Oryzias latipes: one gene and its partner. The protein of the gene in region 2 interacts with the protein of the main gene of each other region in a pairwise test. Links are inferred from orthologs where the notes say so. Each region holds a gene or a part of one and is shown on either strand. Other genes may lie near its edges.

What was found.
Region 1: the proteins of plekha5 (region 2) and pdzd11 interact in binary tests that used the Homo sapiens proteins (3 or more experiments, as listed by UniProt). The two-hybrid records come from large-scale screens. The link is inferred for Oryzias latipes from reciprocal best matches to the Homo sapiens genes PLEKHA5 and PDZD11.

What each region holds. Positions count from the first base shown.
Region 1 is NC_019868.2:11,259,729-11,263,482, forward strand, and holds the start of pdzd11 (PDZ domain-containing protein 11), read right to left. Parts: upstream 2,723-3,754; 5' UTR 2,592-2,722; intron 2,233-2,591; 5' UTR 2,218-2,232; coding exon 2,125-2,217; intron 1,494-2,124; coding exon 1,353-1,493; intron 1,264-1,352; coding exon 1,165-1,263; intron 1-1,164. UniProt on the Homo sapiens protein: Mediates docking of ADAM10 to zonula adherens by interacting with PLEKHA7 which is required for PLEKHA7 to interact with the ADAM10-binding protein TSPAN33.
Region 2 is NC_019864.2:14,294,764-14,298,417, forward strand, and holds part of plekha5 (pleckstrin homology domain-containing family A member 5), read right to left. Parts: intron 3,066-3,654; coding exon 2,965-3,065; intron 2,958-2,964; exon of another isoform or gene 1,737-2,957; intron 1,525-1,736; exon of another isoform or gene 1,479-1,524; coding exon 1,363-1,478; intron 838-1,362; coding exon 766-837; intron 1-765.

The sequences.
Region 1 (3,754 bases), on a different chromosome or scaffold from region 2:
AGTCTGACAGTCTCTGTTTTGTTTTGCCCTCCCCCTTTTTGTTTTTGGTGCAGGTCAGCTGTGGTTTCAACTGGAAAGTTCCACCCACTCAGCTGTGTCTCTCCGTTTTGGCTAGGATTTCTCCGCACTGTGGTCAGTGTTGTTTCGTCATGACGGTATTTACGTTTTTTTCCCACCTGGAATGGAGATTTTTGTTGTTAAAGTTGCTAAACCTTCCCTCAGTCTTGCCTGTTCTGTGCTGCATCTGGCTCAGTCTGATACGCTGTAACACTTTGTTGTGAGATTTGGCTGTAACTTTGTTTGGGGACTTTGTTTGATTGTATGGAGATACATTTTGTGTTAGACTTCTCATTCCCTTTTTCCATAGTTTAACTGCAGCGCCTGCCTCTTCAGTCGGCTGCAGGATAGTTTGTTGTGTCCACCTGGTTCACTTGGCTTTTATTTCTACAGTACCCTTCTTTTATTTTTAATTTACTTTTATTTGTCCCACGATGGGGAAATTGTTTTCCGCATTTGACCCTTCCCCTGGGGGGAACGGTGAGCTGCGGAATAGCCGCGCTCGGTTTTTAGACAACCTGCTCTCCCGCCTGAGCTAAACTGCCACCAATTTAGCACCTTACTGCACATTTACTGTTCTTTACACCCTAATTTTCCTTAAGTTACACATTCTTTGCTATAGACTAAACGGGAACAGATCATGGATGGAGGACTTTCGTACATTTGTGAACTTCTATCCAATCTCCTTTTATTTGACAAGTCCTTAGCAAACTGTTATAGATCACTTTTTGACCACCAGAAATAATCTGCTCTGATCAGGATTTAGAATGCTGTATGGCACTGAAAAAGAGCCAGAAATCTCTTTGTGTTTCACCCTGAACTTTGCTGCTGTTGAGGCGCGCCCTGCTGTATGTCTTGTATAGATGGTTCTTGCGTTTATTAGTGTCAATACAGGTTAATCTACTGCCTTTATTGTTTTAAAGATGAAAGTGTGACTGCGGGACCTGTTGCCGTCCGTTGCTTGGGGTTATGTAGGATTAGAAAACAATTGAATTGCTTCAAAATGCACTGTACTGAACATGTTCTACTTGTTTGGAGGGTGTCCTGAAATTACCTCTGTGCTATTGGTGATAGAAAAATAAAGTTAATGCGACTAAACAGACTCACCTTTGAGTGCTCTATGTCTTGGAAATCTACATCATTTACAGAAAGAACCTGGTCTCCCTCCTGTAGACCGGCTCTGTGGGCATCTGAATCCGGAACCACCTGTTGGTACATGACAAAGGCAGCACACGCCGATGTAGGTACTTGAAAAAAAAAGACTCCCCATTATGACAAAATGAATGGAATCAAACCTTTGATATAAAGATGCCTAACTGTGACGCTTTGCCCCCTCGGATGTTGAACCCCAACTGTGCTCCTGGAGGCTTCTTCAACACGATGGTTCGAGGCAGAAACTGGGTCAGCTCGTTGTTGTAATCAGGGTGATGAACTCGCTGGATTATTGAACCATTTCAAATGTGAGCTTTGATCAAGTTTAAACAAGTTTTGCCAAAGAAATACATGAAAAATAAGCGTTTTGTCTCTTTTCTTTTACTTTTATAACTTAATGATTGTGATAAATCTTTATTAGGAGTTTCTATTTATATTTCTGCTTTCTATTTATAAATCCAATTTCATAAATAGGATGTAAAGAAGTGTTCATAAAATGTCCTTTTCTTCCTGTCCATTTCTCTTTAAGTGGGCAAACCTACAAAATCATCAAAGGATCAAATACTTATTTCTGATACTGTATTAATTTATTTTTTTAATTTTATTTTCAGCACTTAACATTCTGTTTTTACAGTTGGAATGATTTAATGTCTAATTATCAAAGGTCCAGGATTTGGTGTTTTGAGCAGAGATCTGACACATAATTAATATGTTAAGATTTAAACAATCGTGTTCTTTAAGGAATCAACCACTCTTATATTTGCACGGTGCTCTTTTTCATCATTGACCACTAATTCAAAGTCAACTCCAAGATTAAGTATATTTTAGGAATGAACATGATCATAGAACAAACAATATAGTCAAGTGCCGCCCATTTTAAATGAGCGGTACTTGGTTCTGCTGAATGTGACCCACCTCATGAGGGGGGATCCATGCAGGTGGGTTCTCATAAGCAGGAAGAAACACGACTGGAAGCTGGTAGTCATCATAAGAAAGTTTCTGATCCATTACTGATGAAATACCCTTAATAGGAGGACATGATGATCATGGTTTAATAAAAGTTCATTCCACGACGCGCCTCTTGTTAACATGTAATTACGCGATAATAAAACATTCTGAAAACCTAAATCCAGAAAATGATGTGAAATAATAAGGACGGAAGAACAAATGATGGATAACAAATATAAATAGAATATTGTCCGACAATCGCAACAGTAAAAGTTTCATAGTGAAAACAACAAGGAGCCTAAAATATGCTAACACCGCTAGCTTTCTTTTACCAAACTATTCGAAATTCCACAACTGTGATTACCCGAGGTTCAATCTAGTATTTTATAACAATGCCAACTAGTTAATTAAAGACAAAAAGGCTAAATATTTACCTAAAAGCACACGCAAGGTCCAGAAATGAAGCATCAAAATGTAGCCGACTAGGAAAACTGAAAGCTATCGGTGAACTCTTCTTCTACGGATTTGTAATTTGTATTTAGCTCACTGCGCCATCTGCTGGCAAAAAAAACAACATTTAATTCTGATGAACAGTAGATGGTTTTGTTAGAAGTTCTTATTTTCTTTTTAATATACAGTCTATTATTGTTTGGCATAGTAAAACACATCATACACAACTTTAAATGGTCTGATTTATCAAAACGTTCATAAAAACAAGAAACGGTTGCAGATGTGTATCCTTTTGGAAAGACTTGAATAAAACAAGGGGGAGAACATTGATTGGATTTTCCATCCTTTCTAGATAATTCTTTAAAGCAACGTTGAATCTGTACAAAATATTTTTTTTACTGTATTTACTATTTTATTGGATTTTTTTAATGTTTTTTATTTTTCGTTTTTGCTGAAACAAGTATCACAACACAAACAGTTTCATAGCAGTTTTACAATTCTACCTCACACATTTTATCAAGTGGATCGCAGTTTGGAGAACAATGAATAATAGAAGACTATTCCTGCAGGCTTGGCAAATTTAAAAAATGTGTTTTTACTCTCGATGAGTTTGTTGAATGCATCCCAAAAATCCACTCAGAACAACAGAATCTTGTTACAGATCTGATCAAATGTCACGCAACAATAACAGTCTGTCAGTCCAACTTGTTTTTACATGTTTTCATCTCATCCAAATAACTGGATGGTAAACTTTCTGACCTTGATTTGCTGATAAGAAATACCAGCATCTGTGTTTGTCAGTTGCACTAATGAAGCAATAGATACAAACGAAAATCACCTGCCAGGTTTGTTTCAGGTTTTACCAACAAACTTGACAAAGTTTCAAGTTTCTGCATGTTTCAAAGACCATGAAATGTAGTGTTCTTTTCCCTGCCTATACTGAAATGGAGTTATAGCTAAATCCAATATCTTGCAGGTTTCTCTGTATGTGCTAATTTTGACCATTTTTAATTAAATATTGCAATTCTTGTAAAGCTTTTTTTTTCTTCTTCATATGAAAAATGTGGTTTATTGAAGCTACACCAACAAATTGTCCTTGAATTGAATCCTCAGGTGCAGAGTAAACTACCATTTCTGACCCTGTTTT
Region 2 (3,654 bases):
TTAGGTTTGGGGTGTGAGGGACTGTAAGCCAGCTGGAGAACATGTAAACACAGAGGGATGAGGAGGAGCAGGGCCGGACTTACTCCTCACCAAAGGTCCCGCCCAAAACTTAGAGACGAATTTCTAACAAACTACTGGCGTTCTGCAGAAACTATGTACTACAAAAATGACAGTTTTTTTTATTTTTATTTTGGATAAAACCAGCACAGTCATAATTAAAAGACCACTGGGAACACTTGGAATAGATCAAAAGATGATCGAAGAGGGTCTTCGAAAGAACCGAAGAGCCCAAGAATATCTGTGCAGCCACTGAAATCCATTGGATTTTAAACAAGAATACTAAAGCTAAACTAAAGGTGCACAGTAAATGAGTGAAGTGTATAATATCTTTTCCAGCTGGTGGGGAAAGGCAGGCGTGTAAAAGAAAATCCGATATGTCCAATAAAACTGCCTGTGCTGAAGCCATTCTTGCGCTCAGAGCCCAAAATCCATGTGTGCTTCCCAAACACGTCCTCTCCTGAGAGCCCGTCTGCTTCTCTGGTCTCTGGGGAAGTAATGGGAGGTAATCGGCACCTCTACTCCGTGCCCTGGGACGGGCCTGAGATCAAAACTCCAAAGTTCAGGACATTCTCCTCAGCAGCAATGCTAGCTGAGACAGCAGAATGAAAGCAGCCAAAGCCATCCCTTGCAGTTTCCACTTGTGTATTTTTGAATAGCAGCCCTCGTCATCTAATGTTTTCTCCAGCTTTCTGTGAATCCACTCACCCCGAGGAGCACACACCCATCCCTGTGGAAAGCCTTTGTGCATTTAGTCCCATTTGTTCTTGAGTGGCTGTACTGGAGACAGAAAAAATAAGGACAGGAGATTTAAAGCTTTTTTGATACAAATCTGTCATCAAGAAAAAAAACCAACACAAGTCATCTGAGGTTAAATGAATCCCATAAACCCTTGCTCTATAACTTCATGTCTCTGTGTGATGATGCTAATAGAAATGAATTAAAAGCTTGTGGGGATGCTTCACTCTGATCAGTCAGAGCCGCATTCCCCTAAACCTTCAGAGACATGCCACATGCGCATGGCATGCTTGTGTTTGATGCTCTGTAACATACGAGTCGTTGCATAACATGAGAGAAAGCTGCAGCTTCTTAAACAAATCCAGAGAACAGAAATGTCAAAAGTGGATGCTTTTAACAAACTCACAGAAAGGATTAAAAAAAACCTCATTTCCAGATGAAAAAAACATCTCTGTAAACTGATTGAGCCAGACATGCAGCATCATCAGCTTTCAAATGTCTTTTTCGCTATTCAAAATCGAAGCAAGCTTCACGGAAAATGCCCAAACTTGTAAAGATCTCACTAACCTTTTGACTGGCCCTGAATGCACCAGCGCAGCATCCGTCATTACTCTCATCCAGGACTCCGTCTCTTTGGCCGTGTCAGTGCAAAAATAGTACGTCCGCATGTTCGGATGTGTGGCCTGATGGGATGAAGGGCAGCAAGAAAGATGCAAAGAGAAAATTCACCTGAAAGACAGGAAAGAAATTAGACAATTCAAGGAAAGGTGGAATGGATTGTTTCAATACATCTCTTATTTGACTATTTTGAGTTTTTATGCATTTAATTTTGATTTCTTACACTGGTCAACTGCACTAAACAGTTAAATCAAATCCTTAAGTCACCACATTTCATCAGATCAAGGAACTAAATCTGTTGGCTGAAGTACTGTAGGACTTACTGTGCTGTTTGCCGCGAGGGAAACTCATTGCTCCGTTGTGGCTCTATTCCCTCGTTGAGAACAAATCCACAAATTGTCAAAGTAGAACCCAAAAAAAGAGAAATCATTGACGATCTCAGCTGAAAATTCTGCTTATCAAAGTCCAGAAAAGCTTTGCCAACTTCAATTTTCCTTATTCTACTTTGAATAACACAGACAGGGCATTATTAAAACAAGAAAAGAAAAAAATCCTCCCATTAGAAAGTGGAACTGAAGAGGTTTTGCCCTGCTCTCCTGTTTCACTAAACTCTCTCTTTCAGCCAGGATCTAAGCTGGAAAAAGAGCAAGCTTTGTGGTTACACAGACCTTTAACAGACTCCTGGGTGTCTGGGTTTGGCTGTATTTGGCAGCACAACATTGTTGTTTCTTTGGGTTCATGTAGAATGCAGCAACTCCATACACAACACAACCAACTCAGAAAATATGCCACTTTCAGGGGATTTGGGTTTTTTAAGATTGTTGCAGAGTTCCTTAACTGCTGCCAGTGGTCCAGTCCCACAGGCACTTTTTTTTCTTCCATTTAAATATTTTGAACAGGAAGTTAAAAAGCTTGTTTTACCTTTTACTGTTGGTGTGATTCAATGTGCATTTAAAAAAAGACACGATTGAAATGTTTCAAACCCCTCTGTTAAGGAAAAAAAACCCACATTGGTCATTAATTTTACTTGAAACAGACTAAATAAAAGAAATATCAATAAAAACCAGGCATTGCTTTTAAATTGCTGTTTAAAAGAATCATAATAAAGCAGCCAACACATGATGGTACATTTTGATAACTTTTTGTTGCATGACTATTAAAGGAAAATACTTTTTTCCCTTTTCAGCAGGTATTTTGGCCCACTCTTCATAACCTAACGGCTCCCACTGTTACAGGGGACTTTCTCCAGATGGCATGTTTTAGCTCCAAACCAACACCTAACTTTCATTGATGTATTTTCAGGATTTTTAAGACTGCATTATTAGTTCTACAAGTACCACCATATTTGTTTAGGTGTGTGTGCTGAACGCTGATGATAAACTTTTACCTTTGTGATCAAAAAGAAAAAGAAAAAAGTAAAAATGTACATAAACTATACACCGACCTAAACTGTTTGGACAGAAAATCCTTTTCTTTTCTTGTTTTTATAGTTTCTCAATAACACAGTAAGAAGACTTACGAGGTTAAGAGAAAGAAAAAACACACACTGACCTTGAACGCATATTTTCTATTAATGTGGTCATCCTCCGCGCATTTGGATATATGAAAGCTCGGTAGAAGGATGCTGCCAAGAATCCCCTCCTCTTTTTCATCTGCAGAGAGAAACATCCATTTGTTAGCATATGCATTCATAAGGAGGGTCCAACATCTGAATCCAACCAGTGGAAAAGATGAGAAGTGATTGTGTGTCCTATCCTGCTGAAATCTTCCAACCCTCTAAAAGTTAACGGGGCCCATGCCGATAATTGAGCACTATACACAGGGGATTAGTGTTCTAAAAAGAGATTAGCTCACCCTCTCCGTTTTGATACAAGCAAACTGCAGTTCTGACCTGCAACACCACATGGAAACTACTAAAGCTGTACAGTATTTGCTGTAGTTGCAGGTTCAAGATTTAATTGCTCATCCTGCGTGTTTCCTGATGAAAAGCCACAAATTCAGCTTCCAAAAGCTAAAAGCATTGTGGGAGATCCTGGGTGCTTTATAATAATCTGATCGCTGCAGGGGATGGCAGCTGAGTTTAGAAGAGGGAGCACGGTTCGTGACCTCTCTGCCCACTTTGTGCTGATGGATACGATTTCCTCAGCGTATCTATCTGCATAAAGCCTTTGGCTCCGCCGCCGTCTGTGGCTTTTGTCAGGCAGTGGGCGGAAAGAACACGACACAAATGACCAGTGCTAA